Linked DNA regions of Arabidopsis thaliana. The protein of the gene in region 1 interacts with the protein of each later gene in a biochemical or structural test. Each region holds a gene or a part of one and is shown in the gene's direction. Other genes may lie near its edges. The genes, in order: AT2G16250, AT5G49770, AT4G29450 and AT1G51890.

Region 1 (7,572 bases):
CTAGTTGTGATTCAATCCAAAGTTTGTTTCTTTGTGTCAGTCTCAGTCGTTTAAAGTAAAAGAAGAAACAAAAGCATGAGACTTTTTTTTTTTTTTTGGTAACAAAGCATGAGACTAAACATCACAAGACTCAATTTCTCCAGCTTCCTCCTTCAGATCGCCCCTGACCACCGTAACCTCCGTCTCCATAACCACCTTCACGACGATCACCTCCATAACCACCACCGTATCCACCTCCACCGCCACGGTTGTAACCACCTTGATCACGTCTACCTCTGTAACCACCACTTCCGTAACCACCAACCATACCACCGCGAGTACCACTACCACGAGCCTGAGCCTAGTTAACAGTAATGTTACGACCATCAAGTTCTTGACCATTCATTCTATCGATCGCAGTCCTCATGGAATCCTCATCTTTAAAAGTCACAAATCTAAACCCCTTAGACCTCCCGGTCTCACGATCAATGATGATCTGATCCAATCCATAAACCATATAAAGTCGAGATTTTTATGATACAAAGAGAGAAACAGAGCAACACAAAAACAGAGTCACACTTTAACGGACCTTGGAGTCGAAAACTTCACCAAACTCGTTGAAACACCTCTCTATAGACTGTTCATCGGTGGCCCAAGCTAAACCTCCGACGAAGCATCGATACTCGTTGTCTGCATAAGCCACGTCCAAAGATTTGAGGAAGATGATGACGACGACGGTTCTATATAGAAGCGCGAAACCATGGTTACGTTGATTCGGTGCTTAACATGCATTCAGAAATATGATTAGAACTGTGACCAAAACACTCTCTTGGACGCATGATTTGTGCCACGTCACCAGAATCGAAATAATCTTGCTCTGATCCGATGGTTTAGATTTGACGGCTTATTTTGTATGTGTGGGGTCTCACGAAGAGGACATGTGTTAGTTATATGATCTTGAACTGGAAAACACAGATACAAACAACATTTGTACTTTCGGACACGTTGGATTTATTTAATAGCGATGCGGGATATGTAACAAAAATTAGGTAGTGATGTAAATTTGTTATCCGACGAAAGATGAATAGTTCATTGCTTTTTCTTCCCGAACAAATATCCTCAATTATGACTTAACTAGCTCGAGGTTAGAGAAAACTTTTCTATGGAAATAACAGTAATTGGAACGATTAATAAAATCATATACGCAACTGTAGCATATGAAAATTAATAAACAGTTTAAGAAAATTTCACATCACTTGTTCATATATTTTGAGAAAACTTTTGAGAAATTTTTAGCTCAAGAAAAATTCATCTCTATTAATGTCTACTTAATCACTATTTTCTAAATAAACCATAGTGAGACTTTGAACTAACATAATCATTCATTTTTCAAGTAAAATTAAATAAAAAAACTAAATATTTTCATTCGATTGGCATTGTTTAAATTGAACATTCTACAATAGAGAATTTGTTTCTATCAATTTTAAACTAAACATATATCAAATTTTTGGATCATATCAAAAAAGCTAGAAAATTCAATATCATTGTTTTTTAAAAAGAATACTTCAACATCTTTACAAAATCCTATAACCGATAAATATTTCATCCAATATTTTGAAAGAAAGTTGCCAACATTTCACATGTTTTTCTAGTTGATAATTTTCTATTGTACTGTATATGATTATATGTTGTAATAAATTGTTTAAAATGCAAATGATTACAGCGGTTGAGACGGACAAATACTATGCAGATTAAACCGCTTTTAATTTACCAATCATAAATTAGAATCTATAATAATATATACTAAGAAAACTGCCGTAAACCAATCATAAACCATTTTTACATACAAATAAGATTGATCCACAACGATTTATTATCTACTTGAAAATAAAACACACTTATATTATCGATGAATTTATCTATTCTGATTGCCGTTACCATTCGAACCAAAAAATTCAGAGTATTTAGAAAATTTTAGCAAGAAAAGAAAAAGATTCCTTTATTCGGCCAAGAATGGTGAATATAGGACGTGAGATATATTACTCCTTATATATCCGAACATTAAATTTACAACAATAATAAAACAGGAAAGAAGGAAAGAAAAAATCCCAAATAGTAATTGCGGCAACAGCTTAGCTGGCTTATGGCGGGATTACCGGGAAAGTCAAACCAAACATTAAAACGACGTCACTTTACCCCACACTAGGTTTTAATTTAATCTAATTTCAAAATTATTAATTAATCAGATTTGTAATTAATAATAAATTAATTTCGAAGTTTCTTGCAAAGACGAGAGAGAGAGGAGTGTCACAGTCTACAGTTGTTATCTCAACAATCTCGATCTTCTTCTTCTTCTTCTTTCTTTCTCTCTCTAAAGATTTTTTTCACTCAACAAATCACTTTTTGTTTTGTCTGATTTTAAGGATTAGTGAAAAATTTCTACTTTTTCTTCTCATAAATTAGGATTTAGAGAGAGAGAGAGAAAGAGAAAGAGAGGTGCTTTAATGTCTGTGAAGGTAGGAGCTGTAATTGGATCCAGTAACAGAGCAAACCCAGTTCGATATCTGTCTCTTTCTTCCTCTCTAAAGATCGAAAGACGTTATTTTTATTAGGGTTGTTGAATTGGGTATTTTGCTTAAATCCTGAAAAAAATAGTCTCTGTCTCTCTCTGGGTTTGGGTGATGAGTGTTGATGGGTCATTGGATTGAGTTTGATAAGCAATGGTTGATCAAAGAAGAAGCGCATTGGGTTTTGTCTTGTTGTTGTTGTGTTTGGTACTGTTCTTCGACTGTGTTGTTGTTGGTCAAACACAGAGTCGATTCAGTGAGAAACTCATTTTGCTTAATCTCAGGTCTTCTTTAGGGTTAAGAGGAACAGATTGGCCAATTAAAGGTGACCCTTGTGTTGATTGGAGAGGTATACAATGTGAGAATGGTAGTATCATTGGGATCAATATCTCTGGGTTTAGGAGAACAAGAATTGGTAAGCTAAACCCACAATTCTCTGTTGATCCTCTTCGTAATCTAACTCGTTTGTCGTATTTTAACGCGTCCGGGTTAGCGTTACCGGGGACTATACCTGAGTGGTTTGGTGTTAGTTTGTTGGCATTGGAAGTATTGGATCTTAGTTCGTGTTCTGTTAACGGTGTTGTTCCTTTTACTCTTGGTAATCTCACTAGTTTAAGAACTTTGAATCTGTCTCAGAACAGTCTTACTAGTTTAGTTCCTAGCAGTTTAGGACAGTTGTTGAATCTATCACAGCTTGATCTCTCTAGGAACTCATTCACTGGTGTTCTTCCTCAATCTTTTAGCTCTCTGAAGAATCTGTTGACTCTTGATGTTTCTTCCAATTACCTTACTGGACCTATCCCTCCTGGTTTAGGAGCGTTATCAAAGCTTATCCATCTGAACTTTTCAAGCAATAGTTTCTCGTCTCCGATTCCTTCAGAGCTTGGTGATCTTGTCAATCTGGTTGACTTTGATCTCAGCATCAATTCATTGTCTGGTTCAGTTCCTCAGGAGCTAAGAAAGTTAAGTAAGTTGCAGCTAATGGCGATTGGCGATAACCTTTTGAGTGGTACTTTACCAGTAGATTTGTTTAGTGCTGAGAGCCAACTGCAAACTTTAGTTTTGAGGGAAAATGGTTTCTCTGGTAGTCTACCTGATGTGTGCTGGTCGTTGCCAAAATTGCGGATTCTTGACATTGCTAAGAACAACTTCACAGGACTGCTGCCATATTCTAGTTATGATTCAGACCAGATAGCTGAAATGGTTGATATCTCTTCGAACACATTCTATGGAGAGCTCACACCGATTCTTAGACGGTTCAGGATAATGGACCTCTCTGGTAATTATTTCGAAGGTAAGCTTCCTGATTATGTGACCGGGGAAAATGTGTCTGTTACAAGCAATTGCCTTCGAAATGAGAGGAGACAGAAGCCGTCAGCAATATGTGCAGCATTCTATAAGTCTAGAGGATTAGATTTTGATGATTTCGGACGTCCTAATTTGACACAACCGACATCGAAAAATGCTTCTTCAGGGATAAGCCGCAGAACAGTAATTATATTGGCAGCAGTGGGTGGTGGAGTTGCTTTTATTCTTCTTTTTGTTATCTTGCCAATTATTCTGGTTCTATGCATGCGCCATAGACGCAGAGCGGCACAAAGAGGAAATAACGACAGGCCAAAACCTGCCGGGGAAGCTTCACAACAACCACCTAAAGGAGCACAAACCTTTGATTTGTCACGTCTTGGAAATGCATTTTCTTATGAGCAGCTTCTTCAGGCAACAGAGGAATTCAATGATGCTAATCTGATAAAACGTGGTCATTCGGGGAATCTGTTTCGTGGTTTCTTGGAAAATGGTATACCCGTTGTTATAAAAAAGATCGATGTGCGGGAAGGTAAAAGTGAAGGCTATATATCAGAACTGGAGTTGTTTAGTAAGGCTGGACACCAGAGGCTGGTTCCCTTTTTGGGACACTGCTTGGAGAATGAGAGCCAAAAGTTCTTGGTATACAAGTTTATGAGACACGGTGATTTGGCTAGCTCTTTGTTCAGGAAATCCGAAAACGAAGGTGATGGATTGAAGTCTTTGGATTGGATAACAAGGTTGAAAATTGCTCTTGGTGCAGCTGAGGGACTCTCTTATTTGCATCATGAGTGTTCACCGCCTCTAGTTCATAGGTACTACTCTCCTGCTCAGCTTCTCGTAATATAATCTTGATATTTTTTAAAGCATTGACATAGCAAGACTATTGGAAGTTGTTTTGTTGATTCTGTTTTTAGTATCATATAACCTTTCATGTTCATAATTAGTAAGATCTATTCAAGAATTGTTAGTGTATAGTTTCATAGATGGAGAAGCCCAATGACATCACCTGCTCCTAAATTACTTCTTGTTGATCTATGCTCTATTGCCTGATAAGAAGAAAAGCGAGAGAACTCATGTGTGTGTTTGTGTTCAATGTTAAATAGGGATGTACAAGCAAGTAGCATACTTCTTGATGATAAATTTGAGGTACGTCTTGGAAGCCTAAGCGAGGCATATGCTCAAGGTGATGCTTATCAAAGCAGAATTTCTCGTTTACTTCGATTACCGCAGTAAGTGCTTATTACATTAACAAACTCTCTGGTCCTTTTCTGTTTTACTTTGATTCCCTAACATGACTCTGTATGTTGTCTTGGCACCTACTAATGCTTCGCTGTCTCTTCTTTTCCTATTCTTGCAGATCGAGTGAACCATCTTCTTCAGGTATACACTTAGGAGAATAAAAATTTCATCAGGATATACCATCTCCGATTAACCGATAGACATCTGATTGGTTTATTCTTTTCAGGTGTAACAAATGCAATATGTTCGTATGATGTCTACTGCTTTGGCAAAGTGTTACTTGAGCTAGTAACGGGGAAGCTCGGGATTAGCTCGCCAGACAACGCACTTGCAAAAGAGTACATGGAAGAAGCTTTGCCATACATCAGCACAAACGAGAAAGAACTAGTAACCAAGATCTTAGACCCGTCATTAATGGTGGACGAAGACCTTCTAGAAGAAGTATGGGCAATGGCTATCATTGCAAAGTCATGCCTAAACCCAAAACCAACAAGAAGACCATTAATGAGACACATTGTGAACGCACTTGAGAACCCACTGAAAGTAGTAAGAGAAGATACCAACTCGGGTTCAGGCTCTTCCCGGTTAAGAACAAACTCGTCGAGAGGGTCTTGGAACGCTGCTATATTTGGGAGCTGGAGGCAGAGTGCGTCGGATGTAACAGCTGTTCAAGCGGGAGCAACAACAAGCGGTGGTGGTGGTGGTGGTGGTGGTAATGGTTTGAGAAACTCGGGGTCGCAAGGAAGTAGCGGAAGGAACAATAACAACAACGGGAATTCATCGTCGTCGAGAAGACGGCAATCTAGTGAGATTGTACCGGAACCTGCTGCTTATGGAGTAGTAGAGGATAATTTATGATTCGTTTCATCGATTCTTTTGTGTCGATAATAACAGAGGCAAAGAGAGTCCTCAAAGGTAGCATAATGTTAGATGGGAGGAGGATTTGTTTTTTCTTTCTTTTGTTTTGTTTTTGGGTTTAGGATTGGTGGGAGTTAGAAATGTTAGTTCACTCTTTGTTTTTGTTTTTTGGTTCAAACGTGGATTTTGTAAATTGTAAAATTCTTGGAGATTGGGTTTTGTTTTCGGTTTCTTTCTTATTGAAAGACCAGAAAACAAAACAAAACAAAAAAGTTGGGTTACATTTGTTTCAGTTCCACCATTACTTATTATTCTTGTATCTGATTTCGTACGTGTGAATTTTGTTGACTATTTCATTTGCACGTGGCAAGCTTTTGATATGTATTTGGACAAAAAGTGAAAGGAAAGATACTTCTTCCTTTTGTTGGATCTGATTTCGTACGTGTGAATATTGTTGACTAGTTCATTCGCACGTGGGAAGCTTTTGATTCATATTGGGACAAAAAGTAAAAATAAAGGTTCTACCGAGAATTGAACTCGGGTTACTGGATTCAGAGTCCAATGTCCTAACCGCTAGACCATAGAACCATTATGTTTAGAGACGTAAACTTATAATATATATACGTATGAACCAAAATGTTGAAGTTGTAGGATTTTTGGTCTGAGTTACCTGTAATTATATTTAATTATTTCATACACTGAACTTAATTTGAAAATTACAACATTACAAACAAAAATTGAAATTCTAATGAGTTACTTTTGCCAAATCTATCATGGTTAGAAACTTAGAATGATTAAATAGCTAAACTATATCCCAATATATAAGATGTTCTTATGTATTTTATTTTTGTCCATTATATTAAAACTTAAAATAAATTTTCATATTTTCTAATCATTTCTGTTATATGCAATATTTGCCACGATTGGTTGAATTGTTTTAAATAAATAAATAATATTTTGTAAAGAACATAAGTTTCTTAATATATGTGATTTAACTAAAACATCTTATAAGAAATTGGACAGCGGAATATTATTTTCTTGGGTTATTTTTGCCAATTCTCATTGATTTAATAAGTTGGTTGTTAATTGGCTATTTGACAGATTATTCCATACCAAACAAAATTTGAAAGAAATCTCCAAAAATATGATTAATACTGTAAACAATGGGGAAACCCATGCAAAGAAGTCAGCAAGTGGGTTGTAGTAAAATCAGCACATGTGATTATGAGCTTTGGGATTCTGCATAAACTTCTGTTCACTAACCAATTAATTATACTATATTACTCCCAACCCTTACACTAACTTATTACTCTTTTACATTTCAAATCTCACTTCCTCCACATTCCTCTGTCTTCATGGCTCTCTCCATCCTCTTCCTTCTCCTCTTCATTCTCTTCTCTATTTCGCCGTCAAATGCACAGTCGTTTATCGGAGTAAACTACGGCTTACTATCCGACAACCTCCCGCCACCTTCTCAAACGGCCAAACTCCTCCAATCTACCTCCATCCAGAAAGTGAGGCTATACAATGCGGATTCCTCCATCATCACATCCTTGGTTGGAACCGGTATTGGTATTGTTATCGGAGTAGCAAATGGCGATCTCCCGTCTATCGCCTCGGA
Region 2 (8,536 bases), on another chromosome or scaffold:
TGAGCTTCTCTCAAGGGTCCATCATAAGAATGTTGTCAGACTCTTGGGCTTCTGCTTTGACCGGAATGAACAAATGCTCGTATACGAGTACATTTCAAATGGGTCACTTAAAGACAGTCTGTCCGGTAAGATCAAACTTCTATCTTCCTCATGAGGATTTCAGATAGTTCTTGGATGCTGAATATGTTAGTAATGCAGGGAAGAGTGGGATTCGATTGGATTGGACAAGAAGACTTAAAATAGCACTTGGTTCAGGCAAGGGCTTGGCTTATCTTCATGAACTTGCTGATCCTCCAATTATACATAGAGACATCAAATCAAATAACATATTACTTGATGAAAATCTAACCGCAAAGGTTGCCGACTTCGGTCTCTCCAAACTTGTGGGAGACCCTGAGAAAACTCATGTCACAACACAAGTCAAAGGAACCATGGTGAGTAGAAAATTTATCCTCCTTTCTCTTTTTTTCTCAAATACATTTTAAACTTACAATATCTTTGTAATCAGGGCTACTTGGATCCAGAGTACTACATGACGAATCAATTAACGGAGAAGAGCGATGTGTATGGGTTTGGTGTGGTTTTACTCGAGCTATTAACCGGTAGAAGTCCGATAGAGAGAGGCAAATATGTGGTGAGAGAGGTGAAGACAAAGATGAATAAATCTCGGAGTTTGTATGACCTGCAGGAGTTGTTGGACACAACGATCATAGCAAGCAGTGGGAATCTAAAAGGGTTCGAGAAGTATGTAGACTTGGCTTTGAGATGTGTGGAGGAGGAAGGAGTTAATAGGCCATCAATGGGTGAGGTTGTGAAAGAGATTGAGAACATAATGCAGCTTGCGGGATTAAATCCTAACTCAGATTCAGCAACGAGTTCAAGAACGTATGAGGACGCAATCAAAGGATCTGGTGATCCTTATGGCAGTGAATCGTTTCAGTACAGTGGGAATTTTCCAGCTTCAAAGCTTGAGCCCCAATGATTGATTATGTTTCTTTTTGTTATTTTGTTATTTCGTAAGTGACTTCATACTTGAAATGCCTTGTGAATGTGGAGTAGCATGATTCTGTTTGATATGTGGTCGCTGATTATAAAGCAGATGAATGGAGAGCCAAACGCAGAATCAAAAACCACCAGATCTTTGGCAATGTCGACACCAGTTTCAAACATAAGAAAAGTAATCAAGCTCAATGTATGATGAATAATTGAATATATTAATTCTTGTTGAGAAGTTTGTGTGGTTTCAAAGATTTAATCCACACATCACACACACTTTTAATTTACTCCAAACCTTTCACATTTATGCATGAGATTATATTACAAATTTATATTACAAATAATTTGTAGTACGTAAGTAAAATTAGTATTAACTAATAAGAAAAAAAAGTAATAAAGTTATTGGGTTTGCAACCTAACACATCAACGATCCCATCGAACAACAACAGTTACATGACCCAGGGTGAATTTATGGTTGTCGTCTCATCTGAGAGCACTCTCTGATCTAGTGTCCTTGTTGTCCACACCTCAAACACGCCCCCAAAATGTATGACATGATTTAACAAAAAATAAAAAGAAACATGATTTAAGACATGTGGTGTGTGGCAACTCTGCCATATATTTCATGGTGAGGTAGCGAACCGGCACCAAGTTTTTCTCGATATGTTTCCTCCATTTACCATTCTTTACGGTAGACTACGGTAGACTCATAACTTTTTTTATACCGGAGTCATATCGTATTAGTTTCTTAAGAGGATTAAAGCACACATATGTTTTTGTGTCTTATTTACTACAAAAAGTCTTTTTACTAAAACACTAACAAAACAAAAATAACATACAAAAAAAATAAGAAAAGTGGTGGGATGTGGCCAAATAGCATTAGCATACATACGTAGGAAAAAAATAGACGATGTGGTCATATGTCAGAGTGGTCAAGGTCCCATCCCATCTCTGAGTTTTCCGTCGGTTTGGAGTATATTGATCGGAGAATATGATATGGGCAAAAAAAAAAAATCGATTAATTTTTAATCAATTTGGGGTACACTGAAAACAAAAAATATTTTTTTTATTAATTTACTTGGAGGAAGTACTGGTCAATATAACATCAAACCATCAGCATCATTCATTGTTGTTGCAATTAGTATTATTATCTCAAGTTGATAAAAGCTTGTGCTGATTTTTTCCATGACCATGACTTTATTGCATGTTGCTGTTAGAAAAACCATATCAGTGCATAGTCGCTTACCATTACTCTATTTCAAAAATCTCTCTTTTCTTGAGAAGAAACGTTCTAGGAAAACAAATAATATATACATGACTTCTCCCAGTTTTGTGCAGAAACAATTAAATGTTAGATCATTTAGTTAAGTTTTGTTACATATTGCATATTTATGCTTTATCATGTAAACAGATTTATTTATGTAGTTAATAAAGGACTAGTCTATTATAATGGTGTTTTGTGCCAAGTCATTGTTCATAATTTGTTCCTCCACATTACCGTATTGACATTTCAATTTCTCCCTTGGATAATACCTTTGAACCCTTCCGCAATATATAGCGGTTCTTTATTATCTATATCAAGTTGAACTATTTGTTTATATGGTCCACTGTCTATTTGTTTGCTTTATTTATAAATTTTCGCTTAACTTGTTCAAAGTCTTCTCCTTTATGTCTTACATGCTTTGTTAGCAAAGAACATGGAGGCTGCATTTTTATGTTAGAGTTCGTCATAACTTGTGCAGACCACATGCTTTCTTCTTGAACGAATTGTGATACATATCATTGTGTGTCTGATGAAGATGAGTTCAAGAATTGGATTATTTAAGCTCTTGATCTTGCTTTTCTTCCAAATTTACTCTGTTTATGCGTTCACAGATGGTTCAGATTGTAAGTATAAGTAGATGATGATCAGAGTTCTTTTAACAGATAAAGATTTCCAATTTTTTGTATTTTAATTCTTTCAATATTGGTGCAGTTACTGCTTTACAAGCCCTGAAGAACGAATGGGACACGTTATCCAAGAGTTGGAAAAGCTCTGATCCTTGTGGAACCGAATGGGTTGGAATTACATGTAACAACGATAACCGTGTTGTTTCAATGTAACACCTTGGTCCCTTTCTTTGTTTGTTCTTTTGCTGCTTCTTTCTTCAATATAATCCTCTATATACAGACTTTAAGCTGTGTTATTTGCTTGTTTCAGATCATTAACCAACCGTAACTTGAAAGGAAAGCTTCCTACCGAAATTTCGACATTGTCTGAATTGCAAACCTTGTAGGTCTTTCTTCTTCTTCTTTTTCCTTTGCATAAAAATGGATTTAGTTCTCATCTTATGATTCGATGTTTGCAGGGATTTGACTGGCAATCCTGAATTGTCTGGACCGCTTCCAGCAAATATCGGTAACCTCAGGAAGTTGACTTTCTTGTAAGCAAAGTAAACAAGATCTTAACCTAATTCCATCAATCGCATTATCTTATATATCGCCTTTTCTTTTGTTGTTTTCTTCTCTAGGAGCCTTATGGGATGTGCTTTTAATGGTCCAATCCCTGATTCCATAGGGAATCTTGAACAACTTACAAGACTGTAAGATTTGTTGCTTCTTATAATTTATAAACAGTCACTTTTTCAATGTAATCTTTAAAACTCATAATAAGTATTACTTTGCGTTTCCTCCATACAGCTCTCTGAATTTAAATAAATTTAGTGGAACAATTCCGGCTTCCATGGGACGGTTATCGAAACTATATTGGTTCGACATAGCTGACAATCAGTTAGAAGGAAAGCTTCCAGTTTCTGATGGGGCTTCTTTACCTGGACTTGACATGCTTCTTCAAACTGGGCATTTGTATATATAATCCCAAATCCTTAGTTTTCATTTTTATTTAGTTACTCTTTATATATAACATTCATCACTCTGACTCTCTTTTACTTTCTTTTGTAGTCATTTTGGTAATAACAAGCTTTCAGGCGAAATCCCAGAGAAGCTCTTTAGCTCAGAAATGACTTTGCTACATGTGTAAGTTTCATAGTACATGCAAAAGCTGAGAGTTTTCACTAGTTGATATTAGAAACTAACAAAGTGATGATTGCATTTTTGTTCTTGTTTTATCAATAGGCTGTTTGATGGAAACCAATTCACCGGTAGCATCCCAGAGAGCCTCGGCCTAGTTCAAAATTTGACTGTGTTGTAAGTAGTAGAAATATATTTTCCAAACTGTATGTTCACAAAATTTCTTTAATCTTATAAGATATTTGCTTTGTTACAGACGTCTTGATAGGAATAGACTAAGTGGAGACATTCCTTCAAGTCTTAATAATCTCACAAATCTTCAAGAACTGTAAGTGAGCAAATAAAGATTTGTTCTGTTTTCTTAAGATATATAAATGAAAAGATGTAAAAGATCTTGTAGTTGAATCCATTTCAGGCATTTGTCCGACAACAAATTTACAGGTAGTCTTCCAAATTTGACCAGCTTGACCAGTCTCTACACATTGTAAGTTTCAATATTTTTCTTCCTCGTTTGTTGCTCAAATTTAGCATCAGAAACCTTTCTTATTAATAATCAATCTAATGCCATGATATGATTATTATGTAACAGGGATGTGAGCAATAACCCGTTGGCGTTATCACCGGTTCCATCATGGATCCCTTTCTTAAACTCTTTGTCAACATTGTATGAGCATTCCTCTCTCTTTTTAGATATATATAGATTTGTGAGCATACATAATGAGAAAAAATGGTCTTCAACTTGGCAGAAGGTTGGAAGATATCCAACTTGATGGTCCAGTACCAACCTCCCTTTTTAGCCCTCTTCAATTGCAAACTGTGTGAGTCAAATAAGTCATGATCATGAATGTTCAATTGGAAAGTCAACTCAAAGATTTGTGAAACATGTACTGATTGGGATGGTTTTTCTTGACTTGCAGTTCCCTAAAGCACAATCTTATAAACACAACATTGGACCTTGGTACCAACTATAGCAAACAATTGGATTTTGTGGATTTACGAGACAACTTCATAACTGGTTATAAATCACCAGCTAATAACCCCGTCAATGTAATGTATGTATTCATCTTTGACCAATATGTAACATCTTTGAAGAATAACTTACGTATGTGTGTTGATATATCCATAGGTTGGCAGATAATCAAGTGTGCCAAGACCCGGCGAATCAGCTGAGTGGCTACTGCAATGCAGTCCAACCAAATTCCACATTTTCTACCCTAACAAAATGTGGTAATCATTGTGGTAAAGGTAAGGAACCGAATCAAGGCTGCCACTGTGTGTATCCACTTACAGGAGTATTCACCTTAAGGTCTCCTTCATTCTCCGGATTTTCAAACAACAGTAACTTCCTAAAGTTTGGGGAGAGTTTAATGACTTTCTTTAAGAATGGCAAGTATCCTGTAGACTCTGTGGCCATGAGAAACATAAGCGAGAATCCAACTGATTATCATCTTTTGATAAATCTCTTGATCTTTCCATCGGGACGCGACCGCTTTAATCAGACGGAAATGGACTCTATTAATTCTGCATTTACCATTCAGGATTATAAGCCTCCTCCAAGATTTGGTCCTTATATTTTCGTCGCCGATCAGTACAAAACATTCTCTGGTATGATGAAACGTAACACACACTCAAACGAAATCTATATTGATTTAACTCATTTTACTTATAAGCCTTGTTTGTTTCACAGATTTAGAAGATTCCAAGACAGTAAGTATGAAAGTTATAATTGGAGTAGTAGTTGGTGTTGTAGTTCTTCTGTTGCTGTTGGCTTTAGCTGGGATTTACGCTCTTAGACAGAAGAAGAGAGCTCAGAGAGCAACTGATCAAATGAATCCTTTTGGTAAAAGAAAAATGGTTTAACACTAGAACAAAAGACTTTTCTCTTGTCTTATGAAAATCCTGACAGCTTCTCGTTTGTCTGTTGTAGCCAAGTGGGATGCGGGGAAGAATGAAATGGATGCTCCACAACTAATGGGAACAAAAGCCTTTACTTTCGAAGAGCTTAGCAAATGTACTAACAACTTTTCAGATGCAAATGATGTTGGCGGTGGAGGTTATGGCCAGGTTTGTGTATTTCCAATGTCCTCAACTGAAACAACCAGAGGTAGTAGTTCAAATTATAATACCAATTTGATGGTGAAACAGGTCTACAAAGGTACCCTTCCCAATGGGCAAGTCATAGCAATCAAAAGAGCTCAACAAGGATCCATGCAAGGAGCGTTCGAGTTTAAGACCGAGATTGAGCTTCTTTCAAGGGTCCATCATAAAAATGTTGTTAAGCTTTTGGGCTTCTGTTTTGATCAAAAAGAACAAATGCTCGTATACGAGTACATACCTAATGGGTCCCTTAGAGACGGTCTATCAGGTATATATTTAATCTCTATATATCTTGCTTTGTTAGTTCTTTGGTGCTGAACTTGAAAAACAAATGTAGGGAAGAATGGGGTTAAACTGGATTGGACAAGAAGGCTCAAAATAGCACTTGGCTCAGGGAAGGGTCTAGCTTATCTTCATGAGCTTGCTGATCCTCCAATTATACATAGAGACGTCAAATCAAATAACATATTACTTGATGAACATCTAACCGCAAAGGTTGCTGATTTCGGTCTCTCCAAACTTGTGGGGGACCCTGAAAAAGCTCATGTCACAACACAAGTGAAAGGAACCATGGTGAGTAAAAAAGAATCTATCATAAAATATATGAAACCATTAACTATAAAAACTAACAATATCTCTGGAATTAATTAGGGCTATCTTGATCCTGAGTACTACATGACGAATCAATTGACGGAGAAGAGCGATGTGTATGGGTTTGGTGTGGTGATGCTTGAGTTATTAACCGGTAAAAGTCCGATAGATAGAGGCAGCTATGTTGTGAAAGAGGTAAAGAAGAAGATGGATAAATCGAGGAACTTGTATGACTTACAAGAATTGTTGGACACGACAATTATCCAAAACAGCGGGAATTTGAAAGGGTTCGAGAAGTATGTAGATGTGGCTCTACAATGCGTGGAGCCAGAGGGAGTTAATAGGCCAACAATGAGTGAGGTGGTGCAAGAACTTGAGAGCATATTGCGGCTTGTTGGATTAAACCCTAACGCCGATTCAGCAACATACGAGGAAGCATCTGGTGATCCTTATGGTAGGGATTCGTTTGAGTACACTGGGGTTTTCCCAACTCCAAAACCCTAACGCAATAATTGATTAATTTGTTCTTTCTCAGTTTTTTATTGTTTTGTTTTTTGGTTATTTTGTAAGTGACTTTACAACCTTAAATGCCGTGTGAATGTGTGTGTACTAGCATGATTTGATTTTTGATATATGTTGTTTTGTGGTCGCTGCTTATAAAGTGTAAACAAGATTGGAATCAAAATAAACATCAACCCTAAGCAACCCTAAGTTGTCATGATACTAAATAAATCTAATCACCGGATTTTGAATATACTCTCTTTGAGGTTGTCTCAGCAGTCCGGTTGTCATGTCTCTACGGGTATCCCCACGCACATATACTGTGCCAAGCAAGGATGCTAGTGTGTCCTTCTTGAATCCGCGAACGGATGATCTTTCTCTATTCTCATGTTGTAGTTATGATTTTCTTAACTTCGTTCGTAATCAAGTGAATACTTTCAATAACAGACTTGTATACACACTTTTTGGTTTTTTACGGTTTACTATTACAGTATTAATCGATTTTCTACCATAAAATTAAACTGTTTATCTAGTAATTAAAAAAAAACTGACACAATATGAAAATAAAAATGGTCACAAAAAATAGAATTTCTTTAGTAAAATGAAAAAAAATCACTTAATTTGAAAATTTTTTTTTAAGAGAAAATATAGTGAATTGTTTAATCTATAATCATTTGAATTGCAAGAAACAAAAAACAAAGAAAACAAAAACCTATATTTTATTTGGAACGGAGTACTGGTCAATATATCATCAAAATATCAGCATCGTCGGTACTGCAATTAGTATATTATCTCAAGTTGGTAAAAGCTTACGCTGATTGTTTCCAGGACTTTGACCATGTTGTTGTTAGAAAACTATTTCGCTGACCTGAACCGTCTTGGGCAAGCCAATCATATCTAACGTTTTTAGTTTGTAGATTTCGTTTTTCTTTAAATGTTTGAATCATTAATGAGCGTTTTAATACATCATATTTAAAATGAGACACTAGTTTCTCATCACAATAACTGATCATCACGTTGGTTCCGTTTTGATTCAATATTTCGGGTCGATTTGATCCAAAAAAATATCCAAATATTGGAGTTAAAGCAGAGCAAACAAAATTACCCTTTTTTTTTTTTTTTGGACAAAACAAAAAAAATTACCTTCCTTTCAAAATAACTACTCCCTCTGTTTCAAAATAAATAGATTTCAAATTTCTAATAATCTTATATTCATAATTGGTTCTTTCCCATTAACCCTAGTGGCATTTCCATCTAACCACATTTTCCGAACCTTCCATTAATAGCATTCTCATATTTTATCAAGTGGAACTAGTCTTTAAATGATCCACTGCCAATTTCT
Region 3 (7,794 bases), on another chromosome or scaffold:
TTCGGAAACCATAAGCTAGTGATGAAACCGAATTACTTATGTTACATTGTTTTGTGACATTTTGTATTATAGCACTTACTATACTGTCTTCTAATGTTACACTGCAAATAGCTTAGTTTAGCTAGTGTTAAAATCTGATAAGATGCGAATAATCTCGCGCAGGTAATATCATTATACCTAAGAAGCCAGCAAGTGCCGGGCCTGTCGTGGAGGTGGATCTGGCACGGAGTAAAGCGGACACAAAAGATGGCCTTGGAACAAATCAAGGCCCTCAAACAAAAGATGGCTCCAAAGTCTCTGTTCCGATGAACCCTTCTCCTTCTTGATCATTAGGTGACTCATAACTCTCAAGTTTTGTAGATTATTTAACTTTGTTGTCTTATGAAAAATGATCAAGATCTTGAATTCTCTCAGGTTCATGATTCCCATGTATTTTATACATTACATTAGTTTCTCTTTTACTCTAGATATGAGAGGATTCAAAACGAATTCATACTTATATAAGAAATCAAATGTAGAAAAGAAGAAAAAGTGTATATGGATTTTTTTTTTCTAATAAATCAAACATAAATTCTGTTGTTTCTTGATGTAAAAATCAGCAATGATACGAAAATCGAAACATATTAATCTGCAATCTATTTGTAACAGATTGCATTAAGAAAATCATTAGCCGTTGCGAATACATAGCTTAAACGTGTTCTGTTCCAAGAGGTAACAAAAATGATACTCTGTTTTTACCGTCCATGATAATGCTTCTTCGAGAAGGAACGTCCATAAAATATGATGATTTGATTGGTAGTCATGCAACTTCTTCATTTTTTAAATTCTTGTGTACGTAAAAGAGAGAGAGAGGGGAAGGACAAGAAAGCAGGAGGACCAACCAAAAATGGGATATTCCATTCCAGAGAGAGCCAAAAATAGTTTGGGACAGAATTTGAAAGAACACAAAACCCAAAAACTTCAACCAGAGAGCGAGATTTAGAAAGATGATCACCGGGCTTGCTTTGTCACGTGTTGCTTTCGGTTTAACCGCCTTCCTCCTCCTCGCCGTCGTTAGCAGCCAGGAGAAGTGCAGCAACACCTGCATTGCACAGAACTGCAACAGTAAGATTGTTTTTTTCTTATCATCTTAGTTCTTATGCCTTCCTTTGATTTTGGAGAAAAAAACTTGTGCATGCATTATATGTTTTGATCCAATCTTTGTTTTCAGGTCTTGGTATTCGCTATGGGAAGTATTGTGGGATAGGTTACTTTGGATGTCCTGGAGAGCCACCTTGTGATGATCTTGATGCTTGTTGTATGACTCATGACAATTGTGTTGATTTAAAAGGTAAACCAATCAACAACATAATCTATGCATGAAAACCATTCTTGAGTTAATATTTGGTTTTTATTAGGTATGACTTACGTTAACTGCCACAAGCAGTTCAAACGTTGCGTAAACAAGCTAAGCAAATCTATTAAACACTCTAACGGAGAAAAGATTGGATTCTCCACACAATGCCCTTATTCGATAGTGATACCAACCGTGTTCAATGGAATGGATTACGGCATTTTCTTCAGTGGGATAGGTAATTATTGAGCTCTGATTTTGTGACATTCAATATAAGCTAGTACTAGTGATGAAACCACATGACTCTTTTTCTGTTACATTGTGACATTTCTTATGATAAGATATATGTGAATAATCTCTGCGCAGGTAATATATTTAATCCCCCGGTGCTGGGAAGCGTGCCCGTCGTGGAGGTGGATCTCGCTCGGAGTAAAGTGGACACAAAGGATGGCCTTGGAACAAAACTAGGCCTTCAAACAAAAGAAGGCTCCAAAGTCTCTGCTTCTTTAAATATATGAGCCCTTCTAGTACTATTTCTTGATCATCTTCTAAAGTGACTACTCTCTGTAACTTCGTTGTTATAGAAAATTCATAAAACAAAAAAAGACTTTGAATTCTGTCCCAGATCAAAATCAACTGGCAATCAATGACTCAGTCTATGTATTTTATCTATTATTTTGGATGTTAATCACATCTTTAATAACTTCACTAAAGTCAAAACGTGACATTGTCACTAATTCCATCTTATAAAATCCAGGTTGTCTTCCTGTCCTTAGTGGGAAATATATATAGTTACTGAGCCAATGATGAAAGAAAAGTCTACAAACACCTGGCTAATACCATAAAGAGTAGACTTTGCACTTTTTGGCTTTTAATTAAGCTTATCTTACTCGCACGTAGTCTGTTTTTTTCCTGAAGATGGTAAGCTGAAGAACTTCTGAAAAAAGAGAGAAGAAAATGAGGGCTAATCTCGTTTTCGGCATATTTTGTGCCCTTGTTACCACCATTTTAGTTCACGGCCAAGACCAATCAGGTTCCCTCTTCTCCTCTCTGTTTTGATTTGAAATTGAGGCGAGGTTCAGACTGAAGAAAGCTTGAGTTTTATTATGAAAAGTTTTTGTCTTTTAAACATGTCTTGGATTTTTAGTCAAACCCTTATACAATGTCTTGTGTTACAAGTAATCATACAATTCTCTCTTTTCTCTGTTTTCTAATTTGAAATTGACCGATGTTCTTGAAGGTTCTTGAAAGTTGTGATCTACGTTTTTGTCAATATAGAGAAACGAAGTTAGGCAGATTTTTAAACCTATCCATGAACGTTCTCAGACGTCATAAACAATTTTACTTGTGTTGGAAGTAACTCCCCTTTCTTCTCCTCTGATCCAGGTTACATCAGCATCGATTGTGGCATACCTCCTTACGATACCCCTGAAGACACTATGACTAACATTAATTACGTCTCCGATGAAGCTTTCATAACCACCGGCGTAAACTTCAAGGTCTCTGAAGAATACGGCTATCCAAAAAACCCGGTATTGCTGTCAACTCTTGCTGAAGTAAGAGCTTTCCCTCAAGGAAACAGAAACTGTTACACCTTAAAACTTTCACAAGGAAAAGATCATCTTTATCTCATTAGAGCTTCCTTTATGTATGGAAACTACGATGGTAAAAAAGCTTTGCCTGAGTTTGATCTCTATGTAAACGTGAACTTCTGGTCGACAGTGAAATTCAAAAATGCTTCTGATCAAGTCACCAAAGAGATTTTAAGCTTTGCAGAGTCGGATACAATATATGTTTGCCTTGTGAATAAAGGCAAAGGAACTCCTTTTATTTCAGGGTTAGAGCTCCGACCAGTGAACAGCTCAATCTACGGTACTGAATTTGGAAGAAATGTCTCTTTGGTTCTCTATCGAAGATGGGACATTGGATATTTAAACGGAACAGGACGGTACCAAGACGATAGATTCGATCGTATTTGGTCTCCATACTCCTCAAATATCTCCTGGAACTCGATTATAACATCGGGCTATATCGATGTTTTTCAGAACGGTTATTGTCCACCTGATGAAGTTATTAAGACAGCTGCTGCTCCTGAAAACGTTGATGATCCGTTGGAATTGTTCTGGACATCAGACGATCCAAATGTTCGGTTCTACGCATATCTTTACTTCGCGGAACTCGAAACACTAGAGAAGAATGAGACTAGAAAGATCAAGATTTTGTGGAATGGTTCCCCTGTTTCTGAAACTTCTTTCGAACCTTCTTCAAAATATTCAACGACGTTTTCTAATCCAAGAGCTTTCACTGGTAAAGATCACTGGATTTCTATTCAGAAGACTGTAGATTCAACGCTTCCACCGATTCTCAATGCTATAGAGATTTTTACCGCACAATCTCTAGATGAATTTTCCACCACAATTGAAGACAGTGAGTTTCCACTTTCAATCTCTATTTAGATAGAATTAGATTTCTACTGAAACTCACATAGTCACATTTTCTCTTGGTAATGCAGTTCATGCTATAGAAAGCATAAAAGCAACTTATAAAGTGAACAAGGTTTGGAGTGGTGATCCTTGCTCCCCAAGATTATTCCCTTGGGAAGGTGTTGGATGCAGCGACAACAATAATAATCATCAAATCAAGTCCCTGAATCTTAGCTCAAGCGGATTACTAGGACCAATAGTCTTGGCATTTAGAAATCTCTCTCTTCTTGAGTCATTGTAAGTATACGTATACAATTGACATTTTTCACCACTTTTTATGCACATGAACTATCAGAGAGTTATGCATTGTTTTTCTCAGGGATTTATCCAACAATGACCTGCAACAAAATGTGCCTGAGTTTTTGGCTGATCTAAAACATTTGAAAGTCCTGTAAGTAAGCACAAATATACACAGTGTTGGTCTATTTAAATAATGAATTTGCCTCTTGACACATTTACTTGTGTTGTAAGGAATTTGAAAGGAAACAATTTTACTGGGTTTATCCCAAAATCCCTTATGAAAAAGTTAAAGGCCGGTTTACTTACGCTCAGGTAACAGTTTCTAGCATTATTCAGAAAGTTATTCAACACAAGCACTCTCTCTGAATCTTGTGATTTCCTCTGTTTTGCAGTGCGGATGAGCAAAACCTTTGTAACTCATGTCAAGAAAAGAAGAAGAAGAAGAGCATGGTCGTGCCAATAGCTGTAGCAGCATCAGTGATCGTTCTCGTTGTCGTCTTGGTTATCATATGGATCATACTAAGGCAAAGAAAAAAAGGTTAGATGGCTGGAATATTTACTTCAGGATTAATGAATTGAAGTTGTTTTATGCTGAGAAAAACGAGTGTTTTGATTTCAGGAGCCTATTCAGGACCACTCCTGCCTTCAGGGAAGAGAAGGTTCACATATAATGAGGTCTCTAGCATAACAAACAACTTCAATAAAGTGATTGGTAAAGGAGGGTTTGGTATTGTGTACCTTGGTTCCCTTGAAGATGGGACTAAAATTGCTGTAAAGATGATAAACGATTCTTCATTGGCAAAACCTAAAGGAACTTCATCATCATCATTATCCCGGGCTTCTAACCAATTCCAAGTCGAGGTGATCTAAAGAACACCAAAAACATGATCAAATATTTTAGAAATTAAAATGCTTAAGTACTGTAAAATGTTTGCAGGCAGAGCTTCTTTTGACAGTGCATCACCGTAACTTAGCTTCATTTGTTGGATACTGCGATGATGATCGTAGCATGGCTCTCATCTACGAGTACATGGCCAACGGCAACTTGCAGGCTTATCTTTCAAGTCATCTTATTATCTCTCTATATATCTCTGTTACCAATTGTTGCTTTGCTTCCTATGAGCTCACGGGTGTTATGTTTATGGACATGCAGGTGAGAATGCAGAGGATCTTAGTTGGGAAAAGAGACTCCATATAGCCATAGATTCTGCACAAGGTTGGTCCCGGTTTTGGCAACCTTGATTCCTCAGGGCTTAACCAAGAAACCAAACCTGGTTTAGCCTAGTTCTGTATTGTGAAACCTGGTTTTATTTCCCCCTTGGCAGGTTTGGAGTATTTGCACGATGGATGCAGACCAGCAATAGTACATAGAGACGTTAAAACAGCAAACATTCTAATAAACGATAACTTGGAAGCCAAGATTGCTGATTTCGGCCTTTCTAAGGTCTTCCCTGAAGACGATCTCAGCCACGTCGTGACTACCGTCATGGGCACTCCCGGCTACGTTGATCCTGAGTAAGTTCCTTTTCACAATCAATACAGATCACATGTTCTGGCTGGTAGCTTCACAAACCAGAGCGGTTTAGTGAGACTAGGGTTAGGGTTGGCCAATTCAGTTCGGACCCTTTTTAAGTTTATCAGGAATACATGGTAACCAATTTGCGACGTGTGGTGACAGATACTACAGAACATTTGTGCTGAACGAGAAGAGCGACGTGTACAGTTTTGGGGTCGTTCTTCTTGAACTCATCACTGGCCAGCGAGCCATCATCAAAACAGAAGAAGGAGACAATATCAGCGTTATTCACTACGTTTGGCCGTTCTTTGAGGCTAGAGAACTAGACGGCGTCGTGGACCCGCTGCTTCGGGGAGACTTCTCGCAGGACTCAGCTTGGAAGTTTGTGGATGTGGCAATGTCTTGCGTCAGAGATAAAGGATCGAATAGACCAACGATGAACCAGATCGTAGCGGAGCTGAAACAGTGCCTAGCTGCTGAGCTGGACCGTGAGCCACAGAGCCAGTGAAAGTCAAAGAGATTACGGAGAAGTAGGACGAAGCCAAATGGATTAAAAGAGGTTTGGATAATTTCTATATAGGTTATTTGTGTTGTATGGTCAGATTCATATTATGATTGACTACAATTTCTAAAAGGTTTCTACTCAAATTCTTTTGTATAAAATTCGATCGTTGTCGATTCCGTTAAAATCCTACTTGTAATAGTTTTGTGATGAAATGAATGATTCATATTTCTCATAATTGCTGATCTAGGAAATTAACGTACTATAGATCAAATTGATAAGCTTTGAATTGAGTGATGAATCATATATTTCTATTAAATTGTATAGAGTTTTATCATGTTATTTTTGTTGAAAATAAATCAATTAATTTCTTCTTAAACAATTGTTTTTTTTGTCTAATACAAAAAATGCTAATTTTGAAATTTAGTTTTATGGTATTTCAGTTATCTGTTGTCGGTGTCTCTACATTTAAAGACATTTCAAAACATGTGACCCACTAACTCTAGACATATACAAAAAATCGGTTATAATTATTTAATACATATCTAGTTATTTTGTAACGCTTTAAATTTTATTAGCTTAATTATTATTTTTTCAAGATTGTTTTGATATTAATGAAGATCTGATAAAAATCATTGTTTATATATTAAATGATTCGGGGATTAATTGGAGTAACGAAAGATATTCAAAGTTGGAAAATCTAATATTTGAATAACCTTACAAAATCAATAATGTTAATATACAAGATTTTTGTTTAAATTACTGTCGACATGACACATGTCTTTTTCATTAACTCGTTTTTCTGAGTTTTTGTTTTCTTACATGATTGTCATTTTGACGCGTTAATCAAAATCTTCTAACACTATTTAACCCGTTTTTGCCAAAAGTCAATTTTTCTTTTTTATCGTCTCTATTTCACCTCTTCTTCTGCGTCTTCTCCAAAATTGATACTTTTCTTCGTGTCACGTGAAGGTCCATTTCCTCAGATCACAAAATTTCCATCTGATTTCCTCAACAAAAACCCTTAAAGCCCAGATTTTTCGTTTCAATTGTGTGTACTCGGAGACTCCACAAGACCTCAAAAGGCTTGACCTTTCGTTTCTCTAATCAAGTTTCGCTCAATGAAGAAGGTGCTTCATCGAAGTTTCAAGCCTGCCAAATGGTATATTCACTTTCTCATTTTCCTCTTGCGAGTTTCTTCACATTACCGGAATATTGATACATTTGGGTGATTGTTATTTTCAATAATGAAGCAAAATTGCTTTACAAATGGCGGCTTCACGCCTGAAAATCCTGAAGAACAAAAAGGATACACAGATTAAGCAACTGAGGAGAGAATTAGCTCATTTGCTTGAATCCGGCCAAACCCAAACAGCTAAAATTCGGGTAAGTAAAAAGCAATCAAATTTTCATTTGTTTTGTATGAAATCTGTGATTTTGAATTCATGGATTGTCAGGTGGAGCATGTGGTAAGAGAAGAAAAGACAGTAGCTGCTTATGAGCTCGTTGGTATATATTGTGAACTTCTTGTTGCTCGTTTGGGTGTCATTGACTCTCAAAAGTAAGTTTCTTTGAACAACCCTTGTTTGTTTTTTCTTCATTGTGTTGATCATTGTTTGTGATCTTACTTCAGGACATGTCCTAATGATCTTAAGGAAGCTGTCGCAAGTGTCTTATACGCTTCTCAAAGGTTAACAGATGTTGGGGAGCTCTCAGATAT
Region 4 (8,211 bases), on another chromosome or scaffold:
TTTTTTGTTTTTGGTTTCATAATATTTGACTTGTGGCATGTGTTTAGGTATATGAAGAGGAAGAGAAGAAAGTAATGGATCCAGATGTGGATATTAGATGTTATGAAGAGTCACCACACGAGGTGTCTAAATTTAGCCTCACCGATTTCGAAGAAGAGATAATGGAAGATGATTACATAGAAGCTTTGAAGTGTAGAATGTTGGATGATATATTGAAGAAGTCCGGTCACCGTTTAGAAATATCAAGGCGGCAATATAATAAACCTGAGATTGAAATACAGGTGATTTTTTTTTTTTATTATTGTTGTTATAGTAAGATCAGTAGATATATATCTTGGTTTCATAATATTTTGGACTTGTGTGTGTTTAGGTCAATGAAAAGGAAGAGAAGAAAGTAATCAATACGGATATGGATATTAGATATGATGATGAGTCACCAGAAGAGGTGGAGACATATTCTAGTCTCACGGATGATGAAGAAGAGAGAAGCAAGGAAGATACATCAATGGAAGATGTGAAGTGTAGAATGTTGGATTAAAAAACGACGAAGCTCGGCCACCTTTTAGGAATATCAAGGCCGGAATATAGACCTGAGATTGAAAAACAGGTGATTTTATTTTGTTGTTAATTGTATTAGTAAAGATCAGTAGATATATATTTGTTTTTGTTTTTCGGTTTCATAATATTTTGGACGCTTGTGTTTAGGTCAATGAAGAGAAAGAAAGAAAGTAATGGATATTAGATCTGCTGGTCAGTCACAAACACGAGGTGTACAAATTTAGCCTCACCGATATCAAAGAAGAGAGAAGCAATGAAGATACATCAATGGAAGATTGTTGCATAGAAGAGGCTCAAGTCGGAAAAGATCAAAGAGTCTTCAGATTCAGAGAAAGTAGTGAAGAGAAGAGAAAATCCTCATCATCACCATTATCACCACTAACAGAGTTTAGGGATATGGAGAGTTTGACGTATTACATGAGGCAAAAAGGGATGCATCGAAGAAGAAGAAGATCATCAACATCACCACATTGTTGCCATAATGTAGTATACAATGAGTTTAAAGTGACGAAGGAAGAAGAAGAGGAAGAAAGACAAAGATTAACAACCAAACGTGTTCATTCTAAGCTTCATGAATACGAACAATTTTTAACTCAGTTTAAAAAGAAGAAGGAAGAAGAAAACGAGAGACGAAGATTATCACCCAAAGACTTTGAGCCTACGCTTCCTGATTACGACCAAGTGATTACTCGCTTTAGAGTGCTGGAGAAGGAAGAAGAAGAAAGACGAAGATTAGCAACAAAACATGTTCATCCTAAGCTTCCTGATTACGACCAGATTGCTACTAAGTTTAAACTCCTGAAGGAGGTAGAAAAAGAAAGACGAAGATTATTAACCAAACACAGTTCATCCTAAGCTTCCAGGATGAGACACGAAGATTATCAACACCAAAAGGAAGATGAAGAAGACTATAACCAAACCACTAGGGTTTTTTGATTCGGAGTCGGACCAACCTTAAGGTTGGAAAGCTAACTAAAGCTTCGCCTCTGTCTTTTTGAATTTTCCACAGTCCAATTTAGGATTCAAAGTCTCTTTTTGTGTTGAAGAATGAGAGACGAAGATTATTAACCCAAAAAGAAGAAGAAGAAGAAAGACGAAGATAATTAACCAAACCGCTAGTTTTTTTTTTTGGTTTTGATTCGGAGTCGGACCAACTTTAAGGTTGGAAAGCTATTTAAAGCTTCAGCTCAGTCTTTTTTGAATGAAGTCTTAATTGATGTACTATATAATCGAAAATGAAAATAGTGTATATGAGATCTTTAATTTTGTTACCGTATAAAATATGTTGATTCATTTTACCAATTTGGGTATATCTTACAAAAAAGTTTATGTTACTCGTTTTTAATTAAATAAGCAATCAAATGACTTAGTCATAAAATTTAGTGAAAATTATCCAGATTTGAGTCATGGATTTATAAGGGAATATTATAGGCGACGTCAAAAATCAAAATCACCTAAGTTGACTTATTAATTTCTAAATTTTTCTTCACTTTATTTTTAAAAAAGAATTTCAAACTCATCGAAATTTGTCAAAATAATTTCAGATAAATATATACCATATACGTCAACGGACTATAATATCGAGTTTTTTTCCACACTTAATATTAGAAATTTCAGAAATGAATATTATAGGCAACGACGACGTCAAAAATCAAAATCACCTAAGTTGACTTATTCTTTTCTAATTTTTCTTCACTTTATTTTTTAAAAAGAATTTTAAACACATCGAAATTTGTCAAAATAATTCCAAATAAATATATACAATATACGTCAACGAACTATAATATCGAGATTTTTTTCACACAAAATAAAAGTACGATTGTTTAGTAGTTTATTTACGCTCTCTTTTTGTTATTATAGTTGCTTTTATTGGAAGCTTGGAAGGCAAGTTGGGTATTTTTGTTTTGTTTAAGCAAGATTCTGCAACTTTCTTTGTTTGTATCTTTCCATTCTTTATTTACTTTCGTTTGATTTCTCATTTTGTTTTTATATATTTGCCACCAATTCTAGTTTGAACATTTCCACAAGACACATAATTTCGTAGGCAAATAAGAGTGCTGTTACAATCACCTGAATAAGTCTAATGTTGAAGAAGAAGACTTGGCCATCTTAATTGACCAATACTTTGCTCTTATGTCAATCTTTACCCACCAAGAACCTATGAAAAATGAATAGCCTCCTCTGATTCAGAACAAACATCCCCAAAAAACATGAGGTTTTTGTCTTTCTTGATCTTCGTTTTCGCAGTTCTTGGATTGGTTCAAGCTCAAGACCAATCAGGTTATTTACTCTGTTTTCATGAAATCTTGATGTTTTGTTTCCTTTTCAGATCAACAAAACCTCTTAAAAGTTTGTTTTTTTCGATCATAAACAGGATTCATAAGCTTAGATTGTGGTTTGGTGCCTACGGAAATTACTTATGTGGAAAAGTCGACGAATATAACATACAGATCAGACGCAACTTACATCGACAGTGGAGTTCCCGGGAAGATCAATGAAGTGTACAGAACACAGTTTCAGCAACAAATTTGGGCCTTGAGAAGCTTCCCTGAGGGTCAAAGAAATTGTTACAACTTCAGTCTCACCGCAAAACGTAAGTATCTAATCAGAGGAACCTTTATCTATGGGAATTATGACGGTTTGAATCAACTCCCGAGCTTTGATCTTTACATCGGTCCAAACAAATGGACCTCTGTTTCGATCCCCGGAGTGAGAAATGGTTCAGTCTCCGAGATGATCCATGTCTTAAGACAAGACCATCTTCAAATTTGTCTTGTGAAAACAGGAGAAACTACACCGTTTATTTCTTCATTGGAACTTCGTCCTTTGAACAATAATACATACGTCACAAAAAGTGGATCGCTTATTGTGGTCGCAAGACTTTACTTTTCACCCACTCCACCATTTCTCAGGTACAGAAATGAGCCAAAAAGGTTTTATTTTCATACTAGTTGTTTTGTTGTTTGTGTTAAATTATCAAAATGAGCCTTTCTCTCTAGGTATGATGAGGACGTCCATGACCGAATTTGGATTCCATTCTTAGATAACAAAAATTCCTTGTTAAGCACGGAACTCTCTGTTGATACAAGTAACTTCTACAATGTGCCTCAAACTGTAGCGAAAACTGCTGCTGTCCCTTTAAATGCTACTCAGCCTCTGAAAATAAATTGGAGTCTCGACGACATCACTTCACAGTCATATATATACATGCATTTCGCTGAAATCGAGAATCTTGAAGCTAATGAGACCAGAGAATTCAATATTACTTACAATGGTGGCGAAAATTGGTTCTCCTATTTTAGACCTCCAAAGTTTCGTATAACAACTGTATACAATCCAGCAGCTGTGAGTTCTCTAGATGGGAATTTCAACTTCACTTTCTCGATGACCGGTAACTCTACTCATCCTCCTCTTATCAACGGCCTTGAGATTTATCAAGTTCTAGAGCTTCCACAGCTTGATACATACCAAGATGAAGGTAAGTTAAGCATGTTCTTAAACCAATTCTTTTACCAAGAGTTCATGTCTTTGAAGTTTTTGAAATGTAATGATTGATCAGTTTCCGCTATGATGAATATCAAGACAATATATGGATTGAGCAAAAGGTCTAGCTGGCAAGGAGATCCATGTGCTCCTGAGTTATATAGATGGGAAGGTTTAAACTGTAGTTATCCAAACTTTGCGCCACCGCAGATCATATCCTTGTATGTTTTGCTTGTTAATCTCACAATTCTTTAGTTTCGAGTTTTTTTTCTCAAGTTCTAACTTTTGGACTCTCTATTAGGAACTTGAGTGGAAGCAATTTGAGTGGTACCATAACATCTGATATATCCAAGCTAACACATTTGAGAGAACTGTAAGAATCCGAAACTGTCACACACTAATAAACTTAAAGTATATGATATGGTGTATTGTGTATAACAAATTTATTTTTTTCCTTTAATGCGCAGAGATTTATCAAACAATGACTTATCAGGAGATATTCCATTTGTTTTTTCTGATATGAAGAATTTGACACTCATGTGAGCTACTAAATGACTAATATATTTATCTTGGTTCTTGGTCGCTCTGCTCTTTGTGTGCTGTTCTCAAAGATTCATTTTTGTCATTTGCAGAAACTTGAGTGGAAACAAGAATCTAAATCGCTCAGTTCCAGAGACTCTTCAGAAGAGGATAGATAACAAATCTTTAACACTAATGTAAGATTTTCAGTGGATTCAGTCTCAAGCTTTTCAAGTCACGGAAAGTATTTCAGAATCCTATGAAACAGTGTCTAACCTTCTATTCGATTCCACATCACCTTTAATGATTGCAGTAGAGATGAAACCGGAAAAAATAGTACAAATGTAGTTGCTATCGCAGCATCAGTGGCTAGCGTGTTTGCTGTGCTAGTTATCTTGGCTATCGTTTTTGTCGTCATAAGGAAAAAACAGAGAACTAATGAAGGTATGATCACTAGAATAGGTCTTGAAAATAATGAAAATGAAAGTTGTCAGATTTATACTCACTTCCTTTAGGTTTTACAGCTTCAGGACCCCGATCATTCACTACTGGCACGGTTAAGAGTGATGCAAGATCATCGAGTTCATCAATCATAACAAAGGAACGCAAGTTCACTTATTCGGAGGTACTAAAGATGACTAAAAACTTTGAGAGAGTTCTTGGTAAAGGAGGGTTTGGAACAGTGTATCATGGTAACTTGGATGATACTCAAGTAGCTGTGAAAATGCTTTCTCATTCATCAGCTCAAGGTTATAAAGAGTTCAAAGCAGAGGTACTTTAACAAGAAATGGATATGTTTTTTTTTTTTTTAATAAGAAATGGATATGTTAGTCTTAATTGTTTTTAAAGTGCATTAGGTTCCTCAATCATGAATGGTGATTTTGTTCTTTCTTAGGTTGAACTTCTTTTAAGAGTTCATCACAGACATTTGGTGGGACTTGTTGGTTACTGTGATGATGGAGACAACTTAGCTCTGATCTATGAATATATGGAAAAAGGAGACCTGAGGGAAAATATGTCAGGTAAGCACTTTAATTTAGTTGAATCCATCTCCTTAGACAGTTTGAAACATTCAAAGCCTGGTACAGGAAAACACAGTGTCAATGTCCTAAGCTGGGAAACAAGAATGCAAATAGCTGTAGAGGCAGCACAAGGTGAACTAAATTATGACTTATATACTTTTCATTCACAACAATTTGTGTGGTAGTCTGAAAGCAAGATTGACATAAACAATAACTATTTGTAACAGGATTGGAGTATTTGCATAACGGATGTAGGCCTCCTATGGTACATAGAGATGTGAAACCAACCAACATTTTATTAAATGAGCGGTCTCAAGCAAAACTAGCCGACTTTGGGCTATCGAGATCTTTTCCTGTTGATGGTGAATCTCATGTCATGACAGTCGTTGCAGGAACACCTGGTTACTTAGATCCTGAGTGAGTGAATCAATCTGTTTCTTGTACTGAAATAAGTTATGAAGAATTGGGAACTGTAACCTCTCTTTATGATACTCTTCTTTTCAGGTATTACAGAACAAACTGGCTAAGCGAGAAGAGTGATGTGTACAGCTTTGGTGTAGTGCTTTTAGAGATAGTCACAAACCAGCCTGTGATGAATAAAAACCGAGAGAGACCTCATATCAATGAATGGGTTATGTTCATGCTTACCAATGGGGATATCAAGAGTATTGTCGACCCGAAACTGAATGAAGACTATGACACAAACGGTGTGTGGAAGGTTGTAGAGTTGGCTTTAGCTTGTGTAAACCCGTCTTCAAGCCGTAGACCGACAATGCCACACGTGGTGATGGAGCTAAACGAATGTCTTGCTTTGGAAATAGAAAGGAAACAAGGTAGTCAAGCGACGTACATAAAGGAATCTGTTGAGTTTAGTCCATCTTCTGCTTCTGATTTTTCCCCTTTAGCTAGGTAAAAGTCTTTGTGTTATCAAGCTTTGTTGTTTATTATAATCGATTGTTCATATTGAAATGTTTAAGATAGTTCTGTGAATTTTCTTCAAAATGTATTAGCCTTTATTATGTGTAACATTCTTGGATTCCAAGAAATTTATATCTTTAATATTAGTTTATGTATGAGTCATCAACGCATGGTCTTGGATGCTCTTTTTTGATTACTCTGTTCTCATGATTTTGAAGTAAAAGTTTGCAAGAAATTCGGACTCATACAAATTCAAAGTGAACGCATGAAAGCGTTGTTGGAGTCAAATGTGACATGGTCCGTGTATAATTCACTAGAGTTCATATCACATACAAAAATAAACGTGCCTCCATAAAAATTAAAATTTACTATCTGATTTAAATTGACTGATTCATTTAAAATCTGCTAAAGTTTTTTAACCTATAAATAATGTAACAATTGATTTCACATCTTTTTTTAGAAGTCTACCTAATAATATACATTTGAAAATTCTCCAACGCCTGAAAGCGGAAAGAATGTCGTAGACACGTAATGTGTTACTATAATAATCACCTGAATAAAATAAAAGAATCTAATGTTGAAGACTTAGCACACAGCTTACACAAGCTATGAATGCCAAATCAATTGACCAATATAATGTTATCTCAATACTTGCCAGTCAAGAACAATGATCAATGAATAATCATAACCTCCCTGAATCAGAGCACTCACTGCAAAAAAAGAAGAAGATGAAGTCTATTCATGGGTTTTTGCTCTTCTTGATCACAGCTTATGTCATTTTGGAATCAGTTCAAGCTCAAGATCAATTAGGTTCTTACTTTTTGTTTCTTCGATTACTCTATAGATTAAGAAACCCTTTTGGAATTTGTTTCTTTAAATTTGTTATTTTGGTGTTGATCGTCAACAGGATTCATCAGTTTGGATTGTGGGTTAGTCCCTAAGAACGCAACTTATACGGAGAAGACGACAAATATAACATACAAATCAGATGCAAATTACATCGATAGTGGATTGGTCGGGAGGATCAGTGCTGAGTACAAAGCGCAGCTTCAGCAACAAACTTGGACCGTAAGAAGCTTCCCTGAGGGTGAAAGAAACTGTTACAACTTCAACCTTACCGCTAAAAGCAGATATCTCATCAGAGCAACCTTTACGTATGGGAATTACGATGGTTTGAGACAAGTCCCCAAGTTTGATATTCACATTGGTCCTAGCAAATGGACTTCTGTTAAGTTGGATGGAGTAGGAAATGGTGCAGTCCTCGAGATGATTCATGTCTTAACACAAGACCGTCTTCAAATTTGTCTTGTTAAGACAGGAAAAGGGATACCATTTATTTCGTCGCTGGAACTTCGTCCGTTGAACAATAATACTTACCTCACGCAAAGTGGATCGTTGATTGGGTTCGCAAGAGTTTTCTTTTCAGCCACTCCAACATTCATAAGGTAAAGAGGTTTTTTTTTTTTTTTTTTTTTCTTTTGTATTTTTTCTGGTTCGTTTCTGCGTGTAGATGCAAATCATGCAATATCTTGATGTAAAGTGCACCAGATATTGCTAGCTAGTTTGAAAAATTTGGTATTTGCATTCGGATTTTCGGATGCAAAACGTTTTATCCAAATGCAACATGCATATGGAAAAAGCGATTTTAGAAACGAACAACATTAACGGCTAGATCTGGATGTTGCATTTAACGACGGGACTTTCTTTTTTT

The links.
Region 2: the proteins of AT2G16250 (region 1) and AT5G49770 form a complex in vitro, tested with the Arabidopsis thaliana proteins (one large-scale study listed by BioGRID).
Region 3: the proteins of AT2G16250 (region 1) and AT4G29450 form a complex in vitro, tested with the Arabidopsis thaliana proteins (one large-scale study listed by BioGRID).
Region 4: the proteins of AT2G16250 (region 1) and AT1G51890 form a complex in vitro, tested with the Arabidopsis thaliana proteins (one large-scale study listed by BioGRID).

Annotation. Positions count from the first base shown.
Region 1 is NC_003071.7:7,038,061-7,045,632, reverse strand, and holds AT2G16250 (Leucine-rich repeat protein kinase family protein), read left to right. Parts: upstream 1-2,278; 5' UTR 2,279-2,699; coding exon 2,700-4,666; intron 4,667-4,957; coding exon 4,958-5,083; coding exon of another isoform or gene 5,084-5,087; exon of another isoform or gene 5,088-5,211; coding exon 5,212-5,234; exon of another isoform or gene 5,235-5,319; coding exon 5,320-5,951; downstream 5,952-7,572. Other genes in the region: AT2G16230 (O-Glycosyl hydrolases family 17 protein), read left to right, coding at 7,307-7,572.
Region 2 is NC_003076.8:20,220,071-20,228,606, forward strand, and holds AT5G49770 (Leucine-rich repeat protein kinase family protein), read left to right. Parts: upstream 1-2,598; 5' UTR 2,599-2,789; coding exon 2,790-2,883; intron 2,884-2,971; coding exon 2,972-3,095; intron 3,096-3,196; coding exon 3,197-3,268; intron 3,269-3,344; coding exon 3,345-3,419; intron 3,420-3,506; coding exon 3,507-3,578; intron 3,579-3,675; coding exon 3,676-3,840; intron 3,841-3,936; coding exon 3,937-4,011; intron 4,012-4,110; coding exon 4,111-4,182; intron 4,183-4,261; coding exon 4,262-4,333; intron 4,334-4,420; coding exon 4,421-4,489; intron 4,490-4,594; coding exon 4,595-4,669; intron 4,670-4,751; coding exon 4,752-4,823; intron 4,824-4,922; coding exon 4,923-5,057; intron 5,058-5,131; coding exon 5,132-5,610; intron 5,611-5,692; coding exon 5,693-5,845; intron 5,846-5,932; coding exon 5,933-6,069; intron 6,070-6,150; coding exon 6,151-6,370; intron 6,371-6,439; coding exon 6,440-6,675; intron 6,676-6,753; coding exon 6,754-7,197; 3' UTR 7,198-7,396; and 1 more. Other genes in the region: AT5G49760 (Leucine-rich repeat protein kinase family protein), read left to right, coding at 1-125, 199-434, 509-982.
Region 3 is NC_003075.7:14,477,123-14,484,916, reverse strand, and holds AT4G29450 (Leucine-rich repeat protein kinase family protein), read left to right. Parts: upstream 1-2,290; coding exon 2,291-2,366; intron 2,367-2,719; coding exon 2,720-3,760; intron 3,761-3,845; coding exon 3,846-4,053; intron 4,054-4,135; coding exon 4,136-4,207; intron 4,208-4,287; coding exon 4,288-4,368; intron 4,369-4,448; coding exon 4,449-4,594; intron 4,595-4,675; coding exon 4,676-4,917; intron 4,918-4,993; coding exon 4,994-5,120; intron 5,121-5,209; coding exon 5,210-5,272; intron 5,273-5,381; coding exon 5,382-5,571; intron 5,572-5,734; coding exon 5,735-6,080; 3' UTR 6,081-6,168; downstream 6,169-7,794. Other genes in the region: PLA2-DELTA (Phospholipase A2 family protein), read left to right, coding at 163-326; PLA2-GAMMA (Phospholipase A2 family protein), read left to right, coding at 987-1,104, 1,211-1,330, 1,398-1,571, 1,700-1,851; AT4G29440 (Regulator of Vps4 activity in the MVB pathway protein), read left to right, coding at 7,196-7,236, 7,328-7,460, 7,532-7,635, 7,708-7,794.
Region 4 is NC_003070.9:19,273,086-19,281,296, reverse strand, and holds AT1G51890 (Leucine-rich repeat protein kinase family protein), read left to right. Parts: upstream 1-2,498; 5' UTR 2,499-2,768; coding exon 2,769-2,838; intron 2,839-2,932; coding exon 2,933-3,470; exon of another isoform or gene 3,471-3,557; coding exon 3,558-4,036; intron 4,037-4,117; coding exon 4,118-4,262; intron 4,263-4,342; coding exon 4,343-4,414; intron 4,415-4,508; coding exon 4,509-4,580; intron 4,581-4,673; coding exon 4,674-4,757; intron 4,758-4,873; coding exon 4,874-5,004; intron 5,005-5,084; coding exon 5,085-5,332; intron 5,333-5,455; coding exon 5,456-5,714; intron 5,715-5,809; coding exon 5,810-5,999; coding exon of another isoform or gene 6,000-6,003; exon of another isoform or gene 6,004-6,086; coding exon 6,087-6,495; 3' UTR 6,496-6,664; downstream 6,665-8,211. Other genes in the region: AT1G51900 (Regulator of Vps4 activity in the MVB pathway protein), read left to right, coding at 48-281, 371-519, 756-1,413; RHS6 (root hair specific 6), read left to right, coding at 7,175-7,310, 7,408-7,945.